Linked DNA regions of Diceros bicornis minor. The protein of the gene in region 1 binds, or shares a complex with, the protein of each later gene. Links are inferred from orthologs where the notes say so. Each region holds a gene or a part of one and is shown on either strand. Other genes may lie near its edges.

Region 1 (10,613 bases):
GGTGCCCATCGAGGGACGAATGGATAAAGAAGATGTGATATATACACAATGGACTACTACTCAGCCATAAAAAAAAGATGAAATCTTGCCATTTGTGACAACATGGATGGACCTTGAGGGTATTATGCTAAGCGAAATAAGTCAGAGGAAGAAAGTCAAATACAGTATGATCTCACTCATAAGTAGAAGATAAAAAACAACAAACAAACACATAGAGACAGAGACTGGATTGGTGGTTACCAGAGGGGAAGGAGGGAGGGAGGAAGGCAAAAGGGGTGATTAGGCACATGCATGTGGTGACGGATTGTAATTAGTCTTTGGGTGGTGAACATGATGTAGTCTACACAGAAATCCAACTATAATGATGTACACCTGAAATTTATATAATGTTATAAACCAATGTTACCGCAATAAAAAAAAATAGCCAAAGTAATCTTGCATAAGAACAAAGGTGGAGGACTTAAATTATCAGATGTCAAGACAGACTAAACCTACAGTAATTGAGACTGCGGTATTTGTGCAAAGACGACAAAAAGATCAATGGGGCAGAGGGGAGTCTAGATCCAGACCCATGTATTTATGGTCACTTGATTTATGACAGAGATGACACTGTAGTGCACTGGGGACAGGTTGGTCTTTTCAATAAATTATCCTGGGTCAACTGGATAGCCATAGATTTAAGGGACAAAAAAGGAACCTTGGCTCTTATCTCACACCATAAACAAATATCAGTTTCAGATGGATTACAGATCTAAATCTGAAAGAGAAAACAATAAAACTTTTACACGATAATACCTTCATGATAATATCTTTCAATGAACACAAAGCATTAAATATTACTGAAAAGACTGATCTTCGTAAACCTTAAAACTTCTGCTTATCAAAAGACACCGAGGGAGTGAAAAGGCAAACATACACAAGAATGTAAAAAAAATCTGCTATACGTACATGTACTCAGAATATATAATGTGTACTCAGAATATATAAGAAGAACTCCTTCAACTCAGAAACAAAAGAGAAAACCCAATCGAAAAACGGGCAAGACAATCATCTCACAAAGAAGATCTCTAAACGGCCAATAAACACGCACAGGGAAGCTCCGCCTCTGCACGTTCCTGGTCATCAGGAAGCAGCAAGTCCACACCACACCAAGCTGCCTTCCACTCAGTGGCCACCAGACAGCCAAATGAAAGGACTGACGAGACCAAGCGCTGGAGGACAACGGAGGGCTCCCTCACTGTTGGTGCTAGTACAAACTGTCACCACCGCCACTGTGGGCAGCGTCCACTCAGGCTGAACAAATGCACACTCTGTCACTCTGCAATGCCACTCCTGCGGACACCCCCAAGAGAAATGTACTAACTGCACCAAAAAAAGAAGCAAGAATACTCAGGGCAGCACTTGTAAAAACTAGAAGCAACCCGGATACCCATGAGCAGTAGAAAGAATAAATGATGGTATATTCATAGCCAGGATGATGAGATGAGAATGAAGAAAGCTACATGAGACAAAACGAATGGATCCCACAAAGATACTGCTGAATGAAAGAACCAAGAAACAAAACATACACATCACTTTATTTCATTTATATGGCCAAGAACAGGGGAAAGTAATCTATAGGGAAAAGTCAAGACCACGGTTAGCTTTGGGGGACAATTCTTGGGAGTAGGGAGGAGGGGGCTTCTGGGAAGCTTGGTAACATTTCATGTCATAATCTAGGCAGTGGTTACGAGTGTGTTCACTTAGCGACTCAATGAAATGTACACTCATGACTGTGAAATTTTCTGATGTGTTATAGCTAAGTTTTGTATAAGCACAGTATGACTGGTCTACATAATGGGCCAGGAGAACAAATGCAGTCAGTTCACCATATGCCTATCTGGTCACAATATCAGCCACCAAACCTGAGACAAATGCCAGGAAAGGGAAGGGTCCCACAAAGCGCTTACTTACTGGTTCCTGTGTTGCTGAAACGCTGGACGTGGTGCTCAGGTGAACTGCCGACATCATCACATTCTCCACTCAACGAGGCATCTCCAGCTACAACCCTGAGCAGTCGCTAGAAACAAATCACTGAGCAACTGTCTCCTCCCGCTGGTGGGACAGCCTCCACTGCTTGAGACCGTACACACCAAACTGGCCCTTCCCTGCTCTGTCCCTTGAGCTCATTCCCTCAAAAAACTACCTTATCAAATATGGAAGAATTGATATACACTTCAGTGTATGTACCTCAAATTACAGTAAAACAAACACAGTTACAAAAACAAACAAAACTACTGAAAAGATTTACGAATACATTAAAATCCTGGTAAAACATAATTTGGCCAATCCTTTTAAGCTTGTGGTAATAAAATCTGACCTAAACAAACTTGGTAATTTATAAGATTTGAACGAGAAAAAACGTAATGATTCTCTATCTCAACAAAAAAGGAACATTATAGCACTAATATCAAATTATTGTTGCCAAAAAGGAAATCCAAATGTTTGGCTTATCAATCTTTCAGGAGAACTGACTAAAGCCAAGAAACGCATTAAGGCTGGTAATTATTCATTTCCTAATTCACCACCGCAGACCCATCAGGAGAGTACAAGCAGACGCTCATTCAGGCCACCCGAAAGCACCATAAAGGCCCCCAGACAGCTCAGAGGCACCCCAAAACCCACGTATCTCCCACATGCCCTGTGCCGGTACCTTCCACTTCTCTAGGTGACACTTTCTCCCTTCACCCACCATTAAACCCTCACTCAGCTCCAGAAGAAAAGGCTTTGACACACTGGTCCAAATGCAACATACCCAGACTAGCAACCTCAGTGTGACTTTAAGCTTCGTAACTCACACCTGCCACGGAGACAGTTCCAAAGGAGTCAATCTCCAGCCTTCCAGCCCCTGAAACAAATCTCATTTAGAAAACACAGGTGTTCTAATAAAGGCAGACTGCAAAAATATTTTCTCTGTGAAATCAATCCTATTTGTCCATTAAATTTCATTATGTAATTGGAAATACAGGATAAACCCGTGGGAAATACACATTTCACAAGAAGTGGCTTAAGCCAATAGATCGGAAGGCACCACAGAGCTTGGTTGCCCCATGGCCCTATTTCAAAAACTTTGGAGCCCTCTCTTGAATCTAGGCAGTTCCTTCTGCTGCCCCGAAGGAAGGAACAAGAGTTATGAGGTATTTTCACATGACTTTAGAGCACCACAGAGTCTGTTCTCCCTAAGACGTTTAATCCTCCGGAACTTTATCTATACGTGGCTTACAAATATCAGAACCACCATTTCACAAATGGTTACGCAAAATACTCATCTAAGATAGTAATACCATAGAAGAGGACATCATACAACAACATTTAGTGGAAAAACATCTGTCAAGTTCCAGGTGAAAAGCATCCATACCTGTGGAAGTGCAGTATTGAGCTGTCTCTGCAAGGAGTCTCTTTCATGGCCAACCTCGTGTAATTTCCCCTGGGTTAATGCCAGCGTCTCTTGAGTCTCTCTCAGTGTGTCAAGAAGACGGTCCCTCTCTTCTAGCATGGACACCATCAACTGTTCAAAATGTGAGTCTGCGTCTGGCTGCGAAGGGGAGCTGGACCCATGGCTCCCACTTCCTCCTGGGGGGCCTTCTGCTTCACTGATGGTTGGCATCACCTCGCACATCATCTTGAAATAAAAGACCCAAACTACAGTCATTAAGTGCAAAGTAAAGTCTCCCACAAATCTGCAACTTTATAGCTATCTGCAGCTAATCCATGAACGGCTGTCAGCCTCACTCTTTTCAGATCTGACTGTTAAGCTCTGTATATAAGTGCGCTGGGAACAGAGACGCATGCAAACCCTGAGTCGGAACACTTGAGATCAAGACACCAACACAGACAACAATCCAGTCATGGGGTCAAGACCAAAGACGACTATGCCTCAGTTAAAGAACAAACCCTGTGGCATTTTGTTTGCACGGGTGTACTTTCTAGTTGTTGAAAAGAAGTGTGCTTCTGTAACCTATTCTTGTTTTTCTATTTCCTGGTGGGGGAGAGGAAGTCAAAACAGACGCTACCCAATCGTTTTTCAGGAAAAGCACAGAAAGAGCACACAGCCAGTCAAACTGACAAGTACAGAATCTGTCGGGCATCTTACAGGAATGTGTGCAGTCAGCTCCTGGGAAGGACTGACGGCTCCCGGAATTCTTGGGCTGGATTTGGTGAGCGCTAAAAGGAACTGGATTCGTCAAGGGCTGGGAGAGGTGTTTCTCAACGGCTGCAAGGGTTGGCCAGTCAACCTGACTTACGTAAGGTAACAGCCCCCAGAAAAAAAAAAAAAAATTCCACAATGGAAATACCGCAGGTCAATAACAGCCGTGGACGGCTGGGAAGGTAGGAAAAGTGAAAGGTGAGATTACGAGAGGCTATTAAGTGACTCAAACATAACGACGGAGCGAGGGGAAGCGGGGCCGGTCCAGAAGCTGCCGGCGGGGCTCGGGGCTCGGCGACCCCCGAGAGAGGATGCCCCAGACCGCACACCGGACAGTGACAACGACCTCGACCCCACTCGCATCCGAAGCAGGTGCTGCAGAGCCACGGACACCGGGGCTTCTTGCGGCCACAGGTCCTCGCCCCCTGCGCCCAGGGCTGGGTCACCGAGAGCTGGGGTCACCTAGCGCTGGGGTCAGGGCAGAGGGCGGCGCGAGGCCCCGAGAGCCCGTGGCTGGGGGCGCGTCCGCCGGGGGTCCCGCCGGGGGCGCCGCGGGCCTCGCCCCCGCCCCCGCGCCCGGAGCGCCCCGGCCCCCCGGGGCTGACAGGAATCGCCGCGCGGCCGCCGAGGGACGGGCCGGGCCCCGCTCCGCCCGCGCCGGCCTCAGTCTCCCGCTCCCTTACCTTGCTCGCCGGCGGGAGCGGGCGAGGAGGCTCCGCCGCGGCTCGCGGGCGGCTGCGCGCTCCGGGCGAGCTCGGGGCCCGACGAAGGCGGCCCGCGCCGGCGCCCGCCGCCCGCCCCGCGCCCGCGCCCGCGGCCCCCGGTCACTAAGGCCGGCCCGCGGCCGGACACTGGCGGAGCGCAGGAGGAGCGGGCCCGGCTGCGCGGCGCCGGCGTCAACGTGCCCGACGTCGGGCGCGTCGGCGCAGCGTCAGCACCGAGCGCCGCCGGCCCGCCCCGCCCCCCGCCCCGGGAGAGCGCCGCGGCGGCCGAGTGCGCAAGCGCCGCCTCCTAAGGTGGGGCGGGCTGCGATTGGCTGGGCGCGGTCGGAGCCCCGCCCCAAGGCCCCGCCCACATGGGGGCTCCTCGGCTGAGCCGCGGCTCCGGCCTCTGGTCCTCACGCCCCGCAGCATCTTCCACCTCGGGGGCTGCCCCCAGGTCTCTTCCTACAGCCACGGGGACTCCGAAGGCCGTTATCGAGCGTGCATCCAGACACTTCCCAAATGTCACGTCCACACGCCTTCCTGGAGAGCGCGCCCAGGTGCAGCTCACCTGCTCGCAGCCGGGGGGAGCCCGCGGCGTCGCCTCTCCTCGGAACCGACCCTCACAGGACTCGGAAGGACGCGGCTTCTACGCAAGGCCCATTGACCGAACTTCACCTGCTGTACTCGGGGAGGCAGAGATGGGCGTTTGATGTCGAAGCTCCTGGGCGCTGGGTCGAGAATGCAGGCTTTGGGGCCAGCACACCTGGTTCAACTCCCAGCAGATATTTATCCCTGCAGCGTGGGCCTGGGCAACCCAGGGGAACCCGTGTGGGATCAAGTGCCCCGTCTGTAGGATGGGAAGAGGAGACAGATCTACCCCAGGGCTGTTATAGGAATAGAACTTATAAAGAGAGACTCGTTGAGAACCTGGTTGGGGCGCTCTGCGAATGGTGGTCATTTTTATCCTTCTCAAACGTTGTTATCCTTCTTATTCATAGTTTATCCTTACTCAGACTTTTTAAAGCACCTGCTACCTGCTGTCTGCCAATTCCTGTGCTAGATCTTGTAGATACAGAGATTACGAAATCCACTTTTGGGCCGACCCGTGGCTTGGCGGTTGTGTGCGTGCGCTCCGCTGCTGGTGGCCCGGATTCGGATCCAGGGCGCGCACTGGCGCACCGCTTCTCGGGCCATGCTGGGGCCACGTCGCACATACAGCAACTGGAAGGATGTGCAACTATGACGTACAACTATCTACTGGGGCTTTGGGGAAATAAAAGGAGGAGGACTGGCAATAGATGTTAGCTCAGAGCCGGTCTTCCTCAGCAAAAAGAGGACGATTAGCATGGATGTTAGCTCAGGGCTGATCTTCCTCACACACACACACAAAAAATCCATTTTTAATAAATTAAAGAAGATGCTCTCTGCTCAGGATTTGACTTCTGGAGCACAAACTCCTCATACACCGAAAACGTGAGGGCATCGTTGTCAGGCGCCATGGCCACCGTCTGGCTGTCGGTGGTGAGGCAGCCAGGTGCCCGTGAACTCGCCAAGTCTAAGTAAAGCCTGCATGGAGGGGTGGGTGAATCCTTCCCAGGCAATTCCTTCATTCCCCATTGTCAGCTCACCAAGAACAAGTGCAACCTCTGATTGGCTTTCTTCCTTCCCAGGGTCCAGGACCACACCTTCCTTTCATTCATGTATTTGTTCATTCAATAAGTATTTGTTGATTGACTACAAATAAATATAAATTTGCACACCTGAGCCAGGGTCTGGAACAGAAGAAAATTTCCAGCTCTCCTTAAATGTACCAGCTTAATTCATCCAGCCCATATTTACACCACGCTGTCTTCTAAGAAATCGGCACAATACCAAAATTTAGTTCAACAGGGTAGAAGGTTCATTCATTTCGTGAACATTTTTAGAGCACTGTGAGCCAGGCATGGTCTAGGTTTGGGGAACACAGAGCTTTCTAAGACATCACTTCCCCTCAGTTCACAGCCTGGAAGGAAGAAGAGAAACAGTGTTACAATGTCTGTCTTATAAACAGGTGTGACTTGGTGCTGTGGGACCACAGAGGAAGGAGGAACCAACTCTCCAGCTGTCATCCTGGGGGCTTCACAGAGAGGATGACATCTGAGCTGGGTCTCGAAGATGAGCGATTTTCCAAGCATAGAAGGGAGAAGCTCATTTGGTGTAACTCCAGGAATATGAGAATCTCAGATTTCATTCATTTTCATTCCTTCATTTCGTTCCCTCAGATTGCAAAAATCAGCAAGAGGAAAACTGTAAACAACCTAAATGGCCAACAAAAAGAGATTGGTTACATTGTTGCACTTCCAAATGACAGAAAGCTCGGTGACACAGTCATATTTTATCTAATGACACACAAGATGCTCTATCCCGATTGTAGTGGTAGTTACAAGACCATATGTGTTTGTCAAAATCACAGAACTGTACACTAACATGTAAGGTATCCCCAATTTTTAAAAATGGGAAAAAAACTTAAAAAAAAATCAAGTTATAAACAAGTATGTACAGTGTGAGCCCAAATTCAAAAAAAAAAAAACAGTCTGTGTTTAGATGAAGAATCTATTGGGTAAAATTTATTATCTTGTATCTGAAAACTTCTAGAATGTTATTAAAGTGATAAAATTGTAATAAAATGAATTTTACGTGAAATATTTTCGAAAAGTGAAATTAAATTTTAAGTCTCAGGTTTGTCAAAGAAAAACGTATGTCTGTGTGAAAATATTGTTACTGTATTCAATTAGGTTTTTACATTTCTTTCTATATACATATACATATATATTCCTGGAAAGCGATACATCAGAATGTTGGCAGTGGTTGTCTTTGAGGGGGACTGTGGGTAGTTTTCGTTTCCTTCTTTGTGATAGTTTGTACTTGGCGGATATTTTGTCTTGAATGTGCATTATTTTTATCATTAGGGGGAGAAAAACCCCACAAATGTTACTCTAACAAAACCTAGGCAAGAACGAACCATGGAGAATTGCTTTCAGGAAGCTAAAATGACTTTTCGATGCAGTTATCTATACCATCCAACCTAAATTTTTCCCAGAAGTATTTATCTGAAACACATTTCAGAGATTGTCTAGCATCCTTGTAAGCCACAGTCAGGAAAACCATGAACATAGAAAATGTTTTCACTCCGATTCTTCTGTTAAGGTTTTGATAAAGAAAATAAGGTAAAACGGAAGGGGGCGGAGTGGAGAGTTCATTACTCTCTCCAGGGGTGTGTTTTTCCCAAATGTGCCGCCAGCCTGGGCTCTCTGGGTGAAGTGGTTAGTTGTCAACCTTGAGCATGACCGGGCCGCCTCTCCTTTCTAGAAATGTAAGCAGCCCAGGAAGAGGGTTCCTGCGAGAACAGAGTGTAGCCCATCCTGTCCTAGAGATCTGAGTGTGTCCCAAATCTAGAATATGTAAAGCCGCCTAATGAATGGTGGTGTGACAATACAGTCAGGGGAAGTTCTGAGCTGGGGGTGGGTGGTGGAAGATGTGGCCCTCCCTTTAAGAGGAGGAAACTGAAGCCCAGAGATGCGAAAATGCTTCGCCTCCTGGCGCCCAGCTCATTTGGGGCAGAGCTGGGACTGGAGCCTTGAGTGAACCAGGGGCTACTGATTCCAGATCTAGTTGCCACACTATTGCGACTGAGGAGTGGTCTCTTTAAGGGACAACTAAGAATAAGCATGTTATCAGTGGGTCTCCAGTGCTGCCCCAGTAGTCCGATCCCCTGCGGAAGAGATGGGGCCCTGGCTTCATTATCTTGGTGACTTTAGCCATAGAGTCTGTACTTGAGTTACCTTTGTGTCCCTGCTAAGATGGAGGAGGGAAAACGAGGAGAAAGGGAAAGAAATTTTACTTATTTGTCTCATTTAATTCTTAAAATACTTCCCCACGTGGCTGTTCCGGTATCCTTCGCATTTTGCAGATGAGGAAACTGAGGTCTGAGTGGCTGCTGAACAGGTGAGATCATCAGCCAGAGTGTTCCGGTTTCCATGACAGTTCAATTTCTCACGGTCAACAAATTATCTAAAGTTTTGGTCCAACGATGAGCCTGTCGGGAGTTTGGCTGGTGCATCTCAGTTCCCGAGAGCACGGACACCTCTGGGTGAAGTGATGATAAGAAAATCACATTTGGGGCCGGCCCCGTGGCTTAGCGGTTAAGTGTGCGCGCTCTGTGACGCACCGCTTCTCCGGCCATGCTGAGGCCGAGTCCCACATACAGCAACTAGAAAGATGTGCAACTACAACATACAACTATCTACTGGGGCTTTGGGGAGAAAAAAGAGGAGGATTGGCAATAGATGTTAGCTCAGAACCGGTCTTCCTCAGCAAAAAGAGGAGGATTAGCATGGATGTTAGCTCAGGGCTGGTCTTCCTCACCAAAAAAAAAAAAAAAAAAAAAAAAAAGAAAATCACATTTGCAGAGCATTTTACACATAACCTTACCCATATAACCTCACTCAATCCTCACAAGTGTAGCCTTCATCCTTTTATGGATGAGAACGCTGAGGCTCAGAGAAGTTGGATAACCTCTCCAATATCCCACAGTTTACAATTTGGTAGAAGCTGGCTCCAAAGCTGGTGTTCCTGATGCTACATCAAAGGTGTCCCCAGGCCCCCAAAGGTGGGGACAAAACCCCTTCACTCAATGCTGGGCCACCACGGCACTGACACCTAATGCCCACCAAGGGTCTATGGTGCCTTTCGGCCACCTTGTCTGAAAGGCACCGCATCGTCCCAGCGTCACCAGCTCTGAGAGCATTTCATGGCCTCCTGCAAGGGCGTGAAGACTTCTGTCCCCTTCGTCTGTATAATTGTATATTAAAAGCAAGTCATAAGCTCCTTGGGACTTGCTTCTCTTGACATCACTGTGTTCATCAGAGGGAGCCATCTAATAAAAACGCCCAGCTGTGGTGGGGAGCGGGGCCCGCACAGGTGGTTCAAATGCTCCAAGGGCTAGCCCGGAGCCCCAGCCACACCATTACGATGACCTTGGGCAAGATAGTAACCCAGACTAAGCCTCAGTCTTCTCATCTGTCAGATGGAGATCATAACACCCACACTAACTACCATGCTGGGACGGTGTGGGACTCATGGCTGGAAATGAGGGGTGACCACCCTGGCACCCCTGGCTGGCTCCCTGCCCGGTCACCATTTCCCTCTTTAAAAGGTGCTTTGGCACAGTAGTTATAAATGTAGACTCTGGATCCGGGTGGCCTGGTTCAAATCCTGGCTTTGCTTCTCTTTGCCGTAGCTATGTACTCTTAGGCAAGTTGCTTGCCTTCTCTGGGCCTCAGTTTCCTCGTTCCTAAATCGAGGGTGATAGTGCCGCTTCACAGGATGGCTGTGAGGGTTATGTGAGTGGAAAGGGCCGTATAAGAAATCACTATTAACACCAATGGAAGTCCTTTCCATCTGGGCCACGCCCATCCCCCCTGGAGAGGCTCGGGATTGGTCTGAGTCGGCTAGCATCTCATTCCCCTCTGCCCCTGATAGGCTAAGAGAGGGCCTGGACCCCTGTTCTCATCACTGCACATAAGAGACAGTGTGCGGGGTCTCCCTGATGAAAGACAGAGCAGTGTGGGGAGAAAGCCCCGTGGCCTCCACTGTTCTCTTCCTATTTGCTCCCTGCCCTTGAGGACGTGTGGCTGGGAGCCGCGACAGCCAACTTAAGGCCACAAGAGGAGAAACTGCCCAGC
Region 2 (10,164 bases), on another chromosome or scaffold:
CTTTATATGGGACGCCACCAGAGCATGGCTTGCCAAGCAGTGCCCGGGATCCGAACCAGCAAACCCCGGGGCTGCGGCAGCAGAGCGCGCGCATTTAACTGCTTGCGCCACCAGGCCAGCACCTAAATTAATTTTAGTAAAATTAACAATCCAGTTACTCAGTCACACCACCCACATTTCAAGTGTTCAATAGGCATATGTGACTAGTGGCTACTGTATTGGATGGTGACGATTGAGAACATTTCTACCATCACAGAAACTTCTATTGGACAGCGCTGGTCTAAGGTTTTTAGTACTCACTTCCTTCCTCCCAGAAAAAAATTAAAATGACAGGTGTCATCCTCCACTCTCCTGAGAACTCTCTGGGGCTCCATAACATCCTAAGGAATTCCATACATCAGGCATCATCATCACCAACATCGTAATCACCATCACTATCACCCTATTGTCGTCGTCAGTGCAGCTGATTTTTATTGAGTTATTACTATATTCTAAGGACTTTATTAAAAGCTTTATGAGTATTATCTCATTTATTCTTCAGAACAATCACATGAAGTGGGACTATAACTTCCTCATCCTTAAAATGAGAATAAACTGAGTTTTAGACAATAAAGTAACTTACTCAAAGTTATACTGCTAGGAAGTGACAGCAATCTGTAGAGAGTGTAAGCACATTAATAATGTAATTATTTTGCCTTTTTAAGGCACACTTTTTAACAAAAAGGAGGAGTGAGACCAACACCTCATGCTAGCACTCAACATTCCAGCCAGACCAAACTATTTTCAGATCACTCAATTTGCCCTACAGCTTTCTTGCCTTTGGGTTCTGCACATGCTGTTTCCTCTGCTTGCATCCTTTTCATTTGGCCAAATCCTGCTTATCCTTAAGATCTCATCTTAGATCTACCCACAATCCAGTTTAGGGATCTATCCTATGAGCTGATGCAGAATGCTGTATGTTACCTATTAAAGCACTTATCACCGCAGACCACAAACTCCTGTTAACTTTTCCTCTTCTCCCACTAGAATGAAACTCCTTAAGAATAAGAGACCCTGTCCCTTATTTATCATGGACTCCATCTGGCCTAGCCCAAAACTTGGAACACAAAAGGTACTCAAAATTACTTAATAAATGAAGGAAAAATAAAAAGAAGATGGTTAGATAATTAAATCATTTCACAACTATTCACTCAACCAAATAAAACATTATCTAATTTGACTTTTACAAAAACTTATGCTTCAATTCAATGAGAGAATATTAATAGTACACATTAAATGGCTTCATTGCCATTTAGTTGGTAACAAAAGTATTTCACAAACATTTTTCCCACACAATATGCAAAACAAAACTTAAAAACCAAAGGTCAGGGGAGTAACTGCTAATGGGTTTGGGGCTCTTTTTGGGGCAATGAAAATTTTCTAAAATTGATTGTGGCGATGGTTGCACCAAAAAAACTGAATTGTACACTTTAAATGGGTGAATTTTATGGTATGTGAATTATCTCTCAATAAAGCTGTTATAAAACAAAAACAAAACACCTACAGGTAGCTAGAATTAAATTATGAAAACAAATATTAAAGATGCAAAAAAAATACCTAGAAGATAAAATACTTGTTATATTTAGGCATTTTAAAATAGCTAAATACCATATTATTGCAAAAATTTCACTGGTTAAGAAAAACAAGAAATTGAAAACAATGACTGCCTTCAAGAATAACTGGATGGGACAGGAGAGACTTACTTTTCCCTGTGTACTCTTTTACATCTTCTGATTTTAAAAAAATAAGTATACATAACATTAATAACAACCAAGTCATATCTCTCCTTAATACTAGTAAACATTCCCAGGCTGCCTATTTTGTTCTGAAAAGAATAAAGAATGAAATATATTTTAAAAAATCACTCCAGGGAAGTAAAAAACTGAAAGATTCTTACATTTGTCTCATCTCCCACTGAAAAGCATTTAGTCATTTCTCTGTTACTAGACATTATAATCAAGCAGAATTCTCTCTTACCCAACACTCTGACACATCTTTAAACAATGACACAGTTGATCATTCCCTCCTCCTTGAAACTTCCTTTCCTTCACTTCTCGTACATCACACGCCCCTGGTTTTCCTGCTAACTCAATGACCTCTTATCATTCTCCTTTGCTGGGTTCCTCTTTACTTCCCCAGAGGTATCTAGAAGGTAAGTTCCATGAAGGTGGGGATTTTTGTCAACTTTGTTCACTACTGTATCCCCAATGTCTAAAAAAGTACTTGGAACCATAATAAATTACTGTTGAATGAATAAATGAATGAATCAATGCCCTAAGGCTCAGATGTTGAAGAGCCATAGAAAAAAAATCATATTCCACATAACCTTTATGCTAAGTTTACTTTATTACATTATATTTCTCTTAAAATTGATAATCAATGTACTGGTTATTATTTGATTAACCAAAATACTTCATTCCTGGTCTTTCTCCATCAATATTTTTGATACACTATGTGTAAAACACACATTTAACAGCTCTTATACTAGTTCTAAAAGCATAAACATATCGTAGAGGAGGAGCAGTTGTTGCTAAAAGCTTCAATTGTTTTCAGTATTAATGTTGAATTAACAGACTGACATATTTATCTTAATTTAGTAATTTAAAAAAAGGAACACCTGAGTAGACTCAACAAGGATATCAGAGTAACGACTAAAAAGTGACATTTCTTGAAAGATAAAAAGTAGCGGGTTTTTTAGGTATAAAAAATTCTAAAGAGAAATAGATCACTTCTACCTTACACTTTCCCTCAAATCATATATTTCATTCCTACAAGAAGAATAACATCCCACAGTCAGCCATGCAAATGTCATTTTAGCAATATACGCACCAAGTTTCACCCAGTATCTTAGTTCGAATTTGTCTCGTGTACCCAATTAAATCACAGTAAAATTTAAAAGTCAAAACTAGACATATGAACTTTAATTTTTCCATCAAAGTAATCCCAAATCAAAACTATTCATTGTACCAACTTATAATTTGATCTGTCTGAATACAGTTAATTAAATCTTTTATTTATAATTACAAATTGGACCACACCCTTTCTCACTTAATAGCTATTATATCATCTGCTTCCTATAAGTCTCTTCAAGCAGAAGTATTTGCTAGAAGATAATAGTCTGCTCATTAAGTAGGCATGTTAAAAAAGGCAATGATCTGCAACTACTGACACTCACATCTGTATATTTCTCTCTTGGGTGACAGGAAAGCACTTCTCTGGCTATGTTCCCAAATAAATTGAGTAAGCCTTGGGAAAGTCACTGCTTAAATTCCATTTCATGACGGTTTCTCTTCCTCCATAAATGAATTATTGAGAGTCATGCCTACTTCCATCCATTACATAATACATGTTCATTACATGACCTGTTTTCTGAGCAAGAAATAGCTCAAATGACACTGATAGGTAAGGTCAGTGATTATTAGATAGTATAACCTAATAGGGAGCAGGAGTCCAGAAAAGAAGATTCTGATTTGATGTGCTAAGTTGTGAAACACTGATGTGAAGAACACTGAACGCTGTTTACTGTAGTAACATCTCCCTATGAAGTGACAGACACATGCCCCCAAAAATGTTATTAAAGAGCATTTTAAAAGCCCTTGACTCCAAGAACACTTCTCAGAAATTGAGAGGTCTACCAGAAAAAAAAAATTATTCCACTTCATTTTCAAAGTGTCTAATAAAGACATCTGCAATTGAGAAATAAAAATAATCTCAAATAATTAAGTGCTGAAGACTTAAAATGTCTAACATCAGGTCTATTGAAAAACAAGCTGTAAAAGACAGCAGTGCTTTAAAACATTTAAGCATTTTTCATATAATTGGCTTCGACAGAACTGTTCAAATTGTTCATTTATCTATCCAAAGCAGTCAACCACAACCACCTGCAACTATTACTCAGAAATGTGTCTTCCAAAGCAACCACTTGATTCTCAGGCCTTCTCGTAAGGGACCAGAATAAAGCTAGTAAAAGAGATGGTATAAAGAGACCTTTCAGGTACAGAAAAAAGACTGGAAGATAACACCTTTAAGGAACTAAGTGTAATGGGACCTATTCCTTTATGTTGCTGCCAGAATGAAGTTGTCAACCCAAGATATCACTCTTCTTGAAGGGTCTAAAACTTCAAATCCATCCACGCTCATAATTTACCCACTCCGAGCCAAAAGCAGAGAGATTCTCCTCCCCCCGGGACTCACCCACCCACCCCCCGCCAGGATGATAAAAAGAAAAATAACCAAAACCCTAAAGTAGAAATGTCAGACCGAGTGCAATCGCTTCTCCAAATGCCTCAAAGGCAACATCCACAGCTCACCTTTTTGAAATACAACCCTTCACCTCCTATCTTACCATTTACACAGAGGGAAAAAAAAAAAAGAATTCTCACCTCTTTCAACATTTTACATCAATCACCTAAACCCAGATCTACCCTGACCGCACCCCAACCTCCTCATGGCTCCCCAATTCCTCCATCTCGCCACTACCTCGCCCGCAACATCACGCCTCATAAACCTTCCCCGCTCGGTTCTCCGAGCGCCCAGAGCCCCCGTCTCCCACCTCCCGCCCCGGGTTCCCCACATCTATCGCCTCAGCTCCCGTCCAAACCCGGAGCCCGGCCGGGTGGAGCCCCCCGGTGGGCTGGGGTGGGGCCCGCCCCTCCCGGACTTCCCCATCCCCCCGGCAGGGAGCGGAGGGGGAGGGGGTCCCGAAGCCTCACCTACAGCTCCGCCCCTGCCCGGGGGCGCGCTGCCCTGCCCTACCCAGGGCCGTGAGGGAGAGGCAGGCGAAGAAAAGGCAAAAGCCTCAGCGCCTGCGAAGGCGGGAAGCTCTAGGGCCCACCCGACTTCCGAGCTGCCGCCACCGCAGCCGTCTCACCCTCCTCAGCGCGGCTGCTGCTACCGCCCGGGCGCCGCCGCCGCCGCCCCCACCACCACAGCCACAGTACGGCCCCGGCGCCCGCAGACGTCACCGCGCCCCGCCCCCTGCGCGAGACACCTAGCACCGCCCCCAGGCCCGGCCGCGAGGCGCCGCGAGCTCCGCCTCCTCCGGGCCGGGCCGCCTCTGTCTCTGGCAGCCTCCTGGGAGTACGGCTCGGCGGCCCGCTGGCATCCGGCGCCTCCTAGGGGAGGGCGGCGAGGTGACGCAGGGTCCCGGCGGTGGCCGCGCGCCGAAGCAGAGTAACGGGCACGGGGCAGACGCACGCACACCCCCACACACACACACACACGCGGCCCCTGAGGCCGCGGGAGGGGAGAGCCGCAGCCGGCTCGGGAAGAGGCGGTAGGTGGGAGCGAGGCAAGGCGGCGCTTGTCTCCTTCTGCTTGCCGTAGGAAGTGGACGGGCCAGGCCCGAAGAGCGGAGTCGTCGCTTTCCCAGACCTTAGAGCTGCCCCACCCCCTCCCTCCCGGGGCCGTTAGACAAACCCCGGGGCCGCCGGCGCCGTCGGGGCTAGCTCTAAGGCTGTCAGTACGTTCCCGGTTGCGCGCCCGCGGCCGCAGTGGGCACCCTTTGTCCAGGGAAGTTGGATTTTTCCCCACCCTTAGCTTTGGCCGCGGAAGCTAGTAATATGATCTGAGGTACTCGGGACTGTCCACACGGCCCTAAGGAAAGAATTCAGGCGTCGTGGAAGAACCACGCCAGTGTGCGTCGTTTTTCTGTAGTGATTGTCGCAGGAGAGGAGAGCGTGGGCGGAAATTAATGTGCAGGTTCAGTACCTGCGATGTGCCAAATGCGGTGCTACAGTGTCTTACTGAGTCCTCACCACAGCTAGGCAAGTCTACCAGGCAACTGGTACCTTGTTTCAGGCAAGCCAGTTCTCTTGTGCTGAATCGCAGTCGGGTTTTCTTTTGTCGGAACCATGCAAAGAGGGTAACTGCATCCATTAAGGATGTCGATAAGCTATCTCTAAACCAAGAAAGGAAGAGTGATGTGAATTGTATTTATTCCCAGCGCTCCAGTGTTCATTGAAATAATTTAAAATGCCCTTGAAAGGAATTGAGTCATCATTTTACCCCTACTTTCCGCCACCGCAGTTAACCAGTTTACGCTCCCTCATAATCCTACTAACATTTTCCCGTTTCTCCTCAGTATTCACATTCATTCTTCACCAAATTCTACTGTTTCATCCTGCCCAGGCTTTCTAGTTGTTCCCTCATAGGATCACCACACACTTGGATTCTTGCAGGTCCCTGTCCTGCTGTACAGTCGCCCCCTTCAGCACATTCAACATATGGCTACCAATTGTTAGGCTGCTGCCAGAGAAGGAGACTGACTATATGGCTCCCAAATAAGCAACCTGAAATATTTCATTTTCTTGGGCATCTAGCTATTGGCCCAGGAAAAGCCATCCCTCTTTGACTGTTTTTCAGGATCTTTCTCATCTGGCCGCTGATGTGCCGGTCCTGTTACTCCCCAGCAGAGTGGTGAGGTAAAAAAAATAATAAAGTGGAAGTCATATCCTTCTAGTTTTCATTCTGCCACTCTCTACTTATGCGGCCTTGGGGAAATCACTTTGCTTCTCGGTCCTACTTTTCTTAACTGTAAAATGAGGTGTGAACTAGATGTCTGAGATCCATCATAGCCCTAAAATGTGTAGATCTGGAGAGTTTGAGATGCTATGCACTAAGTTATATATACACAGGAATACTGTCAATATCACAGACTCAGAATTTTTCTTTTTTTTGCCATTCCACTGGTTGTTTTTTCTTATTTCCTACTCTGCCTCAGATATCTTTTTTTTTAACCTACATTTAGGATTTTTTTAATTAAAGCTGGCTAACTGAGCACATACATTCATTGCCTTTTCTTCCTGAGACCCCCAAATAAAATGATAATTAAAAAAAATGATGCACACTCATACAAAATAGAAAATGGGAAGGGGGCCACCAAAAGATAATTTATTTTTAAATTTTACTCACAGAAAGTGAGTGCAGTCTGACTAAACAAAATGGAAGGAACCATAGTGTGGAATAGGTGTAGGAGGTGCTGCAGCCAAGGAAGGGGGCCTCTCTGCCAGAGATGATTTAGGGAGACTGAAATTTGGAGACACAGACAAGAGAGAGCAAGCGTGAGAAGCAGGGCTGAAAACACGGAGACTAAATAAAGGTTTCTATACAGAACAGCAGAACCCTCTGTATATCTCAGCTACAATAGCTAGGCAGTTATCCCAAGCTAAAAGTCAAGAGTTCTATAATCTCTGGGGAGGACTTGGGCAGCTATTTGCGCGTTTAATGACTCAGAGTAAAGCATTCTTCATTCTGGCACAATAGCCAGTTTCCTATCCACTTACCCTAGAGTGAAGTTGTGCAAGTTCAAAAGACCCTCCCAAGTTCACAAGATTCCTAATCAGTATTCCAACTACCTCATCTTAAATATGAACAGACACCAAGGATTATTAGATATTTAAGGGAAGTCTCCAATTTGTTGGGGAGGGGGAGGATAAAAAGAAAATGTGACCACAGAGGAAACAAGGGAAACTTCAGAGAACTTAAAAAGAAATAATTGAGGGCCAGCTGGGTGGTGTAGTGGTTAGGTTCGGGGGCTCCACTTTGGTGGGCCGGGGTTTGCAGGTTCAGATCCCGGTTGCTGACCCATGCACTGCTTATCAAGCCATGCTATGGCAGGCATCCCACAGGGAGATGGGCACGGATGTTAGCCCAGGGCCAATCTTCCTCAACAAAAAGAGGAGTATTGACAGTAGATGTTAGCTCAGGGCTAATTGTCCTCACTGAAAAAGAAAAAAAGAACTAATTAGTATGCTTACAGACTTATATTACATCTATGAAATAAGAACAGTATGTTCAGATAAATTAGCAATCCAAAAATAAAAAGTAGGTCTTGAAATTAGAAATAAGAAATTGCTAAAATTATAAATTCACTTGAAGTGTTGAAACATAAAGTCAATGAAATTTTAAAGAAAATAGAAGAAATATGCAAAGAGATGGAGATTGCAAGAGAAAATATAGAAGAAATAGAGAGTTAATCCAACAGGACTAATATTACAAAAGAAAGAGAAAATAAAGTAAATAAATAATGGAAAATTACCCTAAAAGTAATGGAAGAAAATTTTCCAGAGCTGAAAGCATCCACTAGTGCAGAGCAAAAACAAAGAAAAAACAACTTTGTGAAATGTTATAACTCTAAAGATAAAGAGAAGGTCCTAAATTTCCAAAGAGAAAAAAAAAAGTGACCTATAAAAGAACAAGAATCAGGCTAGCATTAGAATTCTTAACAGCAACACTAGATATGAGAAGATAACAGGCAAAGACCTTCAAGTTTCTGAGAAATGTTTTTTGAACTTCAAATTCTAAGAAAAAATTTTTAATTTTCAAAAAAACCCTCTATACCTAGCTGAATTATCATTAAGTGAAAGAGCAGAATGAAAATATTTTCAGATATGCAGGGACTCATTAAGTTAAACTCCTATGTACCCTTTTTTGAAAGAGTTACTTGAAGATGTGCTTGAGGAAAATGAGGTAGAAAACAGGTATCTGACAACATCATATCCAGGAATCATTAGATCTAATTCAGGAAAACAGTGAGGAAAAGTCCCAAGAGCAAGGCCAGATTGGAATGGAAGGATAGGAGTTCTGGGAGAGAAATCTGAAAAAGAGAGAATTCAACTGAATAATTAATTACTATGATAGAAAGCTTAGAAAATGCTGTTTTCTGGCGTTCAACTTTTAGACTTGACCTATTAATAAATTATAGATAATCTTGCTGTAGTTAAAGCATAGTTTATAAATTATATCAATGTTGACAATATAAAGGTAAAAGTATAGCTGACAGTTTTAGATGTGGAATGTAGGGAGGAAAGGTAGAGGTAAAGGTAGAAGCATTCAAGAGATTGTGTGTATAGTTGGCAGAACCAGAAATGGTTGTTAAAATGTATTGTTAGAAGTAGGAAAACTAACCATGGAGAAGCAAGGAATTATTAGGCTATACTGAGAGGATAGGAAGACATGAGCGAAGTACAGGGTTTATAATGAAGCTAAATCATCATCTATCTAGGTAGTTCATCAAGAAATAGTAGCAAAGACAATATTAAAATGGCAGTACTCCCCTGTTTGTTCTATAGACTCTATGCAATCCTATCAAAATCTCAGCTGCCTTTTTTTGTGTGTGGAAATTGACAAGCTGATCCTAAAATTCACATGAAAATGCAAGGGAGGGGCTGGCCCCTTGGCTTAGTGGTTAAGTGCGCGCGCTCTGCTATTGGCGGCCCGGGTTCGGATCCCGGGCGCGCGCCAACGCACCGCTTCTCCGGCCATGCTGAGGCCGTGTCCCACATACAGCAACTAGAAGGATGTGCAGCTATGACATACAACTATCTACTGGGGCTTTGGGGTAAAAATAAATAAATAAAATTAAAAAAAAAAAAAAAAAGAAAATGCAAGGGACTCAGAATAGCCAAGACAATCTTGAAAAAGAACAAAGTTGAAACACTCATTCTTCCCAATTTTAAAACTGACTACAAAACTACAGGAATCAACATAGTGTGGTACTGGAATAATGATAGACATATATCTCAGTGGAAAAGAATTGAGAGTTCAGAAATAACCCATACATTTATGGGCAATTGATTCAATGGGAAATAGTTTTTTCAATAAAGCTGCTGGGACAATTGTATATCCACATGCAAAAGAATGAAATTGGGGGGCCGGCCCGGTGGTGCAAGTGGTTAAGTGCTCACGCTTCATTGCAGCGGCCGGGGGTTTGCCAGTTTGGATCCCGGGCACGCACTGACACACCGCTTGGCAAGCCATGCTGTGGCAGCGTCCCATATAAAGTGGAGGAAGATGGGCATGGATGTTAGCCCAGGGCCAGTCTTCTTCAGCAAAAAAAAATAATAAAAATAGAGGAGAATTGGCAGATGTTAGCTCAGGGCTGATCTCCCTCACAAAAAAAAAAAAAAAAAAAAAGAATGAAATTGGACCCCTAATTCACATATACAAAAATTAATTCAAAATGGATCATAGGCCTAAATGTAAATGCTAAAACTATAGTACTCAGAGAAAACATAGGTGTAAATCTTTGTGACCTTGGATTAGGCAATGGTTTCATGTAAGAAAGCACAAGTGACAAAAGAAAACAATAGAAAAACTGGACTTCATCAAAATGGAAAAACTGTT
Region 3 (10,189 bases), on another chromosome or scaffold:
CACAAATCGTCCTGGCAGACTCACAGGTTCAACCACAGTGTTTCCTCTGAGTTGTCACTGTTTCCCTTCCTCCCACTCACTCACTTCCCAGAGTTAATTTAGATGAGAACCTACAGGCTCATGTGACTCTTCTATCATTCATAAGAAAAAGTAGAGTGTGTTCAAAGAAAATAAAATTCTTTACTATGTGTTGTTAGGAGAAGCAGCATCTTTAGAAAAAGATGATAGTTGAAGGGACATTATTTATGCAACTGCAGCCACACTATCAAGTTATTATATTAAGAAAGTAGGCAATAGAGTTTTAGTCTTGTTTTCACTTTCTTCCAAATAAATTCGATAAACTTTCCTCATAAAACTCCGCGGTGGTGAGATGACATTTGTGCAAAGTACTATAGATGGAGAGAAGAATGACAAAGAGCCAGAAAAAAAGGACTTCTGTGAGCTAGATCCTAGGCACAGAAATACAAGATAACTTAGGCATATTTAGTGATATGATAGAGTATTACATTTATAGCATGGAAGAATTAATACACTTCCCAATGGGCCTACCTAATTCTTCCCAAGAATTACCTTGCTTGCCTAAAGAATTTGGCCACTTATTTATGAATGGGGAGGGACCTGCCACTGAAAATGGCATCTTTACTCTCTCTCTCACCAGGTAAAATTAAGTTTGCCCTTGTTAACACACACACACTAAGAATCAGCACATCTGACACCTTGAACTTGCATCTGTTTTTATGTCAAATGCTTGATTTCCCTAAATTAAAGGAGAGGTGAAAATATTAGCCTTACTCTGGAGTTCAGAGGGTGTCCATAAAATCTACAGCCAACCCCAAACATTATAATACTTGCTCTTCTTCCTCCACGATCCGTATTTGAGACATGAGCCTTTGCCAGAATGATGGATATTCAATGCAATTCGAGTTTGTAAAATTCCCTCAGTCATGGACATCTTTAGGTGCACCACTGTACAGAAACCACCAAATGATCTTTCTATTCTGCATTCACTACGTTTGCCAACAAAAACAAGGATGTGCATGTGGGCCAGTCAAAATGTGAGTCACACCAAGTTCTAGGGAGACACATAACCAAAGTTCAGTCACAAACTGACAACACACCCACCTGGGCCACTAAGAGTCCAAACCCACATTTCAGAAATAGAAGCTCTTTAACGAGTACAGACTGGTACACGTTTCACTCAGACCTACCTCCACCCCTAAAACTGCCTAAGAAGTGTGCAAACTTAAAACTCTGGCAAGGGCCCATTTTTTAATCTAAAATCCAGTTGTTGGGTGTTTTAGATCCTTCAAAGTGGAAAAAAATATTTAAGTAAAAGAAACCCTCACTACTTGGCTTTTTGAAACATTATCAACTAATGCCAACCTGGCATGAATAATTACTATATTTAAAATAAAGAGTGTAAAAGAAATACAAGAGTTTTTGTATTTTGTAGGGTGGGTTAGTTCAATTTAGCTTTTTTAAGCCACTAGCTCCATTTAATAAAGCATCAGTCTTTGTGGTGGTGATACATGTGACAAAAGCTGTAGGCTTTTTAACTGGGAAAAGGGTTCTGACATGCACTGCGATGACTTTGAGAAACAAATGACATAATACAGACTCAAGGAACTGCACAAGCCCAGAGCAGTTTTTGGATGGTGTCAATTTTGGGACAGTTTGACAACAGATTTAATTGTGAAATTATTAACCTTTAGTTGAAAGGAAATGCCGGCCAGAAGACAGACACTTTGTTCCCCTTATCCCCAAACAACACCCAGCGTCGCTAACCTTAACAGCTTTGAATTTCATACTTAAATTCATCTGTTCAACCATGGTTAAAACATAATCGTAATCACGGCTCCCTGAAAAATTTCACAATTGGCTGCTCAACTGTGATTTTTCTCCCCTTAATTTCAGAACTAATACGACTTTTTAGGGAAAACTCTGGGAATAAGAAATCACCATTGTGCAATATCTCTTGCCTATGTTTTCACCTTGAAGCAGTGTTTCTTTAATAAAGAATCAATACACAGACCCAAATGTGAATGGATATACATTCACTCATTCCCTCATCCATTCATTGTTTTGAAAACGTAATTCAAAACCAGGTCAGAAACATGTAATAATATCTTTGAAAAGACAGAATGATGAATGAGGTCTTCTTTCCATTAACAGTTTAAAAAACGTGCTATTTGGGATATAGGTACTTTTAAAAATGGGAGACGAAAAACTCAAAAAGGTAATTTTAATGTAACAAATTACCAACATACTCTAAATTAAGTACAAAAATACAAATATTTCATGAATATGAAAGACAGGTCTTAAAAACAAGTCAGCTAGTCAATAACTGAGGGGAAAAATGACCTTGTTCTGATTTATCTCATGTTGGTACAAAGAGTGACAAAGACTCCATAACCAGAACAGAGTTAATGAACTCTCACCGAACTTGTTTCCAAAAAATGTTTACGATGCCCTTGAAATTAGGCACTACTGATCTGGAACTATATTGTGCCTGGATCTCAAGTCAACATTTGTCCACAAAGGCCAGATTATCCTATTGTTTTAAAGCAGCTACTAGAACTATGAGAGCTACTGGTCAAAGAGAATTTAACCAAAACCTGATTCTACCTCTCTCAACAACACATAGGTCTTTCAAATTTTATCCTTTAAAAGTACCGTGTTTTACTACACCACATCTACCTCATAAACATGGACCAAGATGGAGAAATACTGGTTAAATCTAAGCATGTAAAATGACTGTTATTACTCAAACTGTGAATAAAATTTAAAGCTTCGGCATAATCAAGTCCCTAAGCCAGGGCTGGTTTTTTGGAAAGAAAGCATAAATCTGAATTTGGTACATCAGGGTAACATCATAAAGATGCTCCTTACTTGACTGGCTATGAGGGACTGCAGTCTGAACACCTCATCAGCCACAGGCTCCAGAGAGCCCACATCAGCCCACAGGAATTCCACATCATCTCCTTCTCCATCCTACTGAAAAAGTACCCTGGAAAATACAGTATGTTTTACGTACTTCCTATAGAATATAAATAGAAAAAACTTGTTCACCATTATTTCAGAGCCATTAGGCAATTTCTGTTTCCTAACCCAAAACACAAACCAAAATTAAAATGGTCTGGCCTTTCCAGTAGAGCACACCTTCCCTTTGCAAAGAGCCTGCTTTTATCCACCCTGTACTATTTCATTCTTTTAGGAACTAAGAACAATACAGACCCGGGTGTTTTATAAACAACAGCAAAACAAAACACTTCTTTCCAGCCCTGAAACCTGTCATCTGGCTAGAAAGATGGAGAATTCCATTTATAAAGTCCTGTAACTTCACACTTCCCGACTTGGGTTTCTTAGATGCAATGTTGTGCCTTCTTTCTTTCCTCATCTGGAAATGCCCTTTCATTCAGGCACCTGGGATGCAGCCTTGACTCACAATAGAGTCCACGTCTGCCCGTTTCCTCCTGATCTGGTAACAGAAGGATCCTCACTGCTGAGGAACAGAGGTGAAAGAAAAAGGAACTTGACTCAGGAATCTCACCCATACATTTTTTTTCTTCTCCAGAGCCTTAAGCACTGAAAAGTGAGGGTTCTGAATCAGTTGATGGAGTTAACTTTTTGCCCCTGAAAGTCAGTCACACCCAGTTAGTGACCTGGGCACAGAAAATCTCCCAGCAGGAGAAAGAAAGGGTTTGAAACAGAAAATAAAAAAATCAGAATTCTATACTTCCACTTCTGAAAATCTTCCTCCCAACAGGCAACTGCTTTCCCTAAATGCCAAACTGGAACGCTAAATCAAGTTCTCCTTCTACTGCTCTTTGCACTTTCTTACTGAAAGGAAGGATTTGTTTTGGCTCCACATGTTGAAAAATTCATGTTCCTATAATTAAGAGTTTGTGTGCCACACCTTCTGGCCACATTTCCCTGTTAAAACTCTCTTCTCTAAAAATGATCCCTGAAAACACAACTACCAGCCCTGATCCTTTTCTCAAGTGGCCACAGAAAACAGATCTGAAGATTCTCAGCAGCCTTCCCCAACCCTCCAGATCACTCAAGTGATCTGGCACTCAATTAAAACATAAGAGTGAAAAAGAGTTGGAGTTTTAGAAGTGTGCCCCCAAGAGACGGGTTCTCCCACAAGCTCATAATTAATACACCCCAAGTGAGTTTCTCACATCCTGACTGGACTATATAAAAGGATTTATGATGTTGATATATAAGACTGTATAAGAATAACCATAATACTCTTTCATTTAAATCAGTATGTAATAGGTCACAGGGGAACTAAAAAACACAAAACTTTTGTTGTCTCAAAGAGCATAATTTTTGAGTCGACATTTCATAACTTTTTGTGACATTTTTAAATAACCACACACACACACACCCGCACACAGACACAGACACACACTTCTCTGATTGGGGTTCTCAAGTATTACTGGGAGAGAGACTAGGGTGCGGGGGTCTAAGGACACAGACAAGACCTTACATGTCCAATCCTGGAGGTATTTTTCACATATAAACTAGTCGGGACCCCAGGAGTAAGCCCTACCCCGTGCACCACCAAAAGTGCCCTTTCCCACTGGGAAACAGGAGTGAGTTGGAAAAGGAAATCGACCCGGGGAAGAGGAGGAGCAGCTGCAACACCCAGCTGCAACCACACAACGGTGCCACTTCCCTCCGGTCTCCGAGTGGAGCCGAACGCCCTTACCTGGGGGGTGGAGAGCCGCTGGCACTAGTTCCAGAAGTTCTGGTTCACCTTCCGTCGGAGTTCAAAGCCCCAACACTGGAGCCCCGCAGCAGGCTCGCAAACCCCAATCCTTTGCCGTCCGGCCCCCGCCTTCCCCACCCTCTCGGCCCTACACCATGTCAGGAATCCGGGCAGGCTCCGAGCTGGGAGCTGACATCACTCCCAGTTCCAGGTACCTCCCCCTCCCACTGCCGCCTTCTCTCCTCCCTCCCTGCAGGAATTAGCCAAAGAGAGTCCGCAAGGGGGTGGGGTCGGCCGCGCCCGGGCTCCCGCTGATTGGGCCCGGGGACAGTCACTCAGAGGAGTCAACTCATTTTATACATTCCTCGCTGAGCCAGACTAGGGCTGGAAGTGGGTGCTGATGGAAAAAAAAATGCTGCCTTTCCTGCTATCTCTAAGGAAAAGGAGATAATGGGATGGGGGAAGAACCTTGCGGGTCCTGTTAACTTTTCTTGGCGTATTTACTATATCCCAGATCAGAAACGAAACTAACCCACCCGTGCCCCCTTTTTAAGGAAAAACAGTTGCCTCTGTGTCACGGACAAGTACGGTCTGCCGGCGCGTGGAGCGGAAAATGGCTAGCTTGAAGTCATGCAAATAAAGGAAAACGCCAGCTCGCTCTTCTACCCTTTTATCTGGAGACTGCTGAGTGTTCCCTTAGACGAGGAATTTACAACTTCAAAAGCACTTGGGAAGATTTGGAAAGGAATCTCAGAAACGGCGACTCAGCAATGAATTGTTAACTGGTGGCGTTATCAACCATGTGGCTGCTTTTGCGTTTAGCGATGAAAATCACTCCACCCGAGCTTTCAGGCAAATAAAATTGAACCTCCAAAGTAAGAAAAATTACTATTTACCTTACTCAGGACCTTAAGGCTGCTGTTTTCACGCACAACTGAAGGGGCGGCGGCGGGGGGGGGGGAGGATCTCACAATTGGGTTCAACGAGGCACATGAGAATAATTACTGTTGAATAGAAGCGGTTGCAGAGGCTGAGCTATCAATTAAGAATTAACTAACATTTAAGCTTGACGGATATCATGCTGTATAGTCCCCTTGGCTAGCAGAACAGAATGCTTCTCAGGAGATGGTCCTTTCAATATGCCCAATATCCGATTCAATGCAGAACTGAAAGGTGAAAAGTGGCTCTATTGACATGAGATATAAGTAACGCATTATCCATCATCTTCTGGAAGGACAATGAATTAATTATTGACTTTCTGTTGGTTTTTATCGTCTGGGTTTTTTTGTTTTTTTTGTTTTTGGTGAGGAAGATTGGCCGTGAGCTAACATCCTTTACCAATCTTCCTCTTTTTGCTGAGGAAGATTGGCTCTGAGCTAACATCTGTGCCCATCTTCAACTGCCCATCTTCCGCTATGTGGCATACGGGACACTGCCATAGCATGGCTTGATTAGTTGTGCCTAGGTCCATGCTGGCGTCTGAACCCGTGAACCACACGCCGCCAAAGCAGAGCGGGCGAACCCAACCACTACACCACCGGCCGTCCCCTTTATTGTCTGTTTTTTGATACATGACAACATGTCATGCATTTCACCATTCTGCTAAAAACTGTAAAAGGATGCATGGAGTCCAACATCGTGTCTCATTTAATCCTCACAACCATCCTGTAGAGCGAGTATCATTAGCCCCATTTAACATAAGGAATCAAAGGCTCAGCAAGATTATGGCAGTAAATTGCTTCAGAACACCCAGAACTGGGGTTGAAACTGAGGCCCATGTGACTCCAAAGCCATTTTTTTCTCTTTACTCTAAAGTGGTGATTGCTCACAATCTACACCCATTCAAACACTGTCATGCAAAAAAAATCCACAGACCCACTCTATATTAGTACCATGGTGCTGTTTTTCAGACCTACACAATTCCAAGCTCCTAACATATTTCTGATGCCATTTTTCCCCAGCTCTTGGTCCTTCTATGCACCACTACCAAGTGAGTTTTTAAAAACTATTTGGTTTTGCCATCAATATCTTCCCCTCCACATTGGGCCCCCTTTTCCCTATAATTCTTAGCCATTTAAAACTCTCCTAATCTGGCCTCTATTTACCTTTCCCACCTTATCTTCTATTTCACTCCTGGGAAATCCTCTGCTGCAGTCAAACTGGTCTACTCACAGATCCCCACTTGATTCTCACCTTCTGGCCTACGTGGAATCCCCATTCTTCTATGTGCTGTCACACCTTTCTCTCAAAGCCTAATTAAAGTTCTTGTCCTCACTGTGTGCTACAGTGGACAGAAAAAGGGCTTGAGGTCCATAGCTGGGTTCTGCCACTTACTTGCTGTGTAACTTTGGCCAAGTCACTAAAACAACCATCAGAAACCTCAATTACCTCTTCTGTAAAAAGGGGCTGATAATACTCACATCAAAGGTTAATTGAGACTGTATAGATGTGTAAACATATGATTGTATATGTCCAGTTGTATACATTTCCTATCTTCCCAAACCCTGAAGAGCAAGCTCCATACTTAATACCTCTTTGTATCCTTTATACCCAATTCAAGGAAAAAACTCAATAAAAATACAGGACTACAGAAAATTTATCATCATGTCACCTCTAACCCCCTCCATTCCTTAAAGGTACCCTACCTGCAAATAATCTTATAGCCAGAAACCATAATTATCTCTTTTTTTCTCTCTCCCTCTCTTTTTATGCTTTGGCCACAGTCCTTCCCTTTTCCCACTCTCCCACCATTCATGCAACAACCCTTAACCTCCTCAGATATTTTCTGCACCAGCCACTTAACCTGCCTCTTAGCCACTCATCATTCCCTCTCCCTCAGTCAGGGACACACTTGTCTGTTGTACCTGTTGCCTGCCTTGCTCCCTAAGTGCCTTCAGCCGTGGCTGGGTGGCTACCATCATTCTTCCAGCCCCAGTCACAGGGTGGCTGCATCCAGGCTCACAGCCTACAACCAGCAGCAGATGGGGGAGGGAATGTCCCACCGCCACAGAGATGGCAGGATAGAATAACAGGAAGTTGCCTCCCATCCCCTCTGCAGCTGGAGTGATAACAGCTGCCATCAGAGTCCAGAAAACAAAAGACTCAAAAGGAAAGCTGAAAACAGTCCAGGGCTGGGTCAGTAGGGTTCAAACCAGGGGTTCCAGAGTGGGTGAGGAAGGAACCAGTGAGGGAGACTTCAGTCTCCTCTCCACCCCAGCTTTCCCTCCACCTTAGTGTTACAGCTCCTCTCTGTTCTACATTTAGGCTCCACTATAATGCTTCATTTTAAAAAGAGAGTCTAACACTCAGATAAATATATTGAAACCACTGGCCTTGGTATCTTGGGGAAGCCCCAAAGGATCAGGACAATGCAGCAGAAGCGAAATAGGATACCTGCTGAGCAGATACCCAGAGTTTACCCACTACCCTGGATTCTAGCTGGCTTAATGGAAAAGTTTACACCTCCTGTGGTTTCAACACTTATTAGCTCTGTAGGTCTAGATAGCTATTTTCTGCCTATGAATTTTGCCAGATACTATCACTGCGGGGTGGGGGAGAGGAGGAGAACCTGTGAAAGCAGGAGAAAACCTGCAGAGAACAACAAAAGTAGAACTTGAAATGGACCCTAAAGGTCATGTGACACAAGCACCTGTTGGATGCAAGAACCCCTCCTACGGCCCTCCTGACAAGGAGCCTTCCAGCCCCTGTTTGAATTTATCTGGCAACAAGGAGCACACGAGCTAGGAGAGCAGCCCACCACTAAAGATCTTTCTCCTAGGGAGCCGGGTCCTGCTTTTCTGACTCTTGCCCCAAGACCTCTGTCTTGTGTCTCACTTAATTCTCACAACCATCCTCTAAGGTGAGCTTTATTAGCCCCATTTTAACATAGGAATCAAAGGCTCAGCAAGGTTACATAAGTAAACTGCTCCAGAACACCCAGAACTGGGATTGAAACCAAGGTCTCTTTGACTCCAAGCCATTTGTTCTTTATATATCTAAAGCTTTGATTGTCCACGGTCTATCCTTTTTCAGTTCTACCCTCTAAATAACAGGAAGCAGGTTGACTCTTTTTGTTACCCCATCCTCAAGCCTGTGCAGGCACAAGGACGCATCCCCTACTTACTCTGTTTAGATGCAGATGCCGGGAGAGGCCCACCTGACTCATCAAAGTGTGTCATTTGCCTGTCTGGTCTTTATAGGCTTCCAGCTACAGCTCTCTACAGCCCAGTCCTGATCACTCTTGACTCCTTTTGAAACACTTGAACATCTCCCCTTCACCAAGGAACAAAACCCAAACTCTCTTGACTGGCATCCAAAGGCCTTTACATCCAGCCGCCAACTTACCTTTCTGAACGTACTGTCCACTCTGCTTCATACTCCTCAGTGCACAAACTGAATGACTTTGCACCCATATTCTCTAAGAGTGTTTCCGTGGTTAAGGATGATTTTTGCCCATTACTAAAATTCACCTCACAGTGTTGTTGCAAGGATCAGATGAGATGTCATATGCAAGATGACAGAGCATGTTGCCTGACACATAATAAGTCATCAATAAACATATTTTCCTTTTTCTTATGACATAAAACAACTGTACTATTATTTTTATATATGGCTTATGTCCCTTACTGACAGTAAGTTCCTTACAGTCCTTGAAAGCAGGATGCTAATTTGTTTCATCTTTACATCCTTTATGGAATCTAGAACAATGCTTTGTCCTAGACATTCAGTAAAAATTCACTGAGTGAATGAATGAATGCTTTCTTTTGCTTAAAACTTCTAACCTGCTGTGGGCTAGGCCTTTAGAAGTTCAGGAACAACTCGACCAGAGTGATTTTAAAGAATCTGGATGCCTCAGATTTTTCTTATCGCAGACATGTTGCAAAACACAGAGTGTGTTGAACACATGGTATAAATCATGAACCCAAATTCAAATGAACCAAACTTAGCTTCAGAGTTCCTTCTAAAGGAAATTGCTGCTTATTCTGTCTGATTCTAAGCATGGCATTGGTGATAACCCAGACATCATTTTAATATCCTTTCGCTGGATACTAAGCCACTACTCAGCTATCACCACTGACATCATTTATGAATCCAACCCTCCTCCCCATCCCCTTCCTGCCAATGGACACGGGTTAGAAATAGGCCCAATATCTTGCTCCAAGCAGAGTCTTATTTTAATCACTCTTGCCTTGCAACCCAGATTGTGTGGGTTATTCTCTGGTTACCTGCCAGATAAATTAAAAAATCTAGTTACATTCAATTTACCCATTTTATTATTCTATTTATAAACTGAAAAACATTTTTAATTAAAAATAGAGACTATTGCTTTCCATGGTCTTTGATTAATGTTTAATTAATGGCTACATTAAACAAATTAAATTCCCTTAAACAATTAACCCCATTTACAAACAGAATTAATTGAATTTCCTAAAGAGTATGTCTGATTCCTGTACTCTGAGAGGCCAACAAGAT

Evidence for each region.
Region 2: PPFIA1 (region 1) and ERC1 share a complex: the UniProt entries of both Homo sapiens proteins name them as parts of the cortical microtubule stabilization complex. The link is inferred for Diceros bicornis minor from reciprocal best matches to the Homo sapiens genes PPFIA1 and ERC1.
Region 3: PPFIA1 (region 1) and PPFIBP1 share a complex: the UniProt entries of both Homo sapiens proteins name them as parts of the cortical microtubule stabilization complex. The link is inferred for Diceros bicornis minor from reciprocal best matches to the Homo sapiens genes PPFIA1 and PPFIBP1.

Annotation. Positions count from the first base shown.
Region 1 is NC_080770.1:3,997,466-4,008,078, forward strand, and holds the start of PPFIA1 (liprin-alpha-1), read right to left. Parts: upstream 4,955-10,613; 5' UTR 4,870-4,954; intron 4,543-4,869; exon of another isoform or gene 4,133-4,542; intron 3,662-4,132; coding exon 3,398-3,661; intron 1-3,397. UniProt on the Homo sapiens protein: May regulate the disassembly of focal adhesions. May localize receptor-like tyrosine phosphatases type 2A at specific sites on the plasma membrane, possibly regulating their interaction with the extracellular environment and their association with substrates.
Region 2 is NC_080756.1:59,587,523-59,597,686, reverse strand, and holds the start of ERC1 (ELKS/Rab6-interacting/CAST family member 1), read right to left. Parts: upstream 4,933-10,164; 5' UTR 4,910-4,932; intron 4,888-4,909; exon of another isoform or gene 4,752-4,887; intron 1-4,751. UniProt on the Homo sapiens protein: Regulatory subunit of the IKK complex. Probably recruits IkappaBalpha/NFKBIA to the complex. May be involved in the organization of the cytomatrix at the nerve terminals active zone (CAZ) which regulates neurotransmitter release.
Region 3 is NC_080756.1:35,552,566-35,562,754, forward strand, and holds the start of PPFIBP1 (liprin-beta-1), read right to left. Parts: upstream 4,933-10,189; 5' UTR 4,718-4,932; intron 1-4,717. UniProt on the Homo sapiens protein: May regulate the disassembly of focal adhesions. Did not bind receptor-like tyrosine phosphatases type 2A.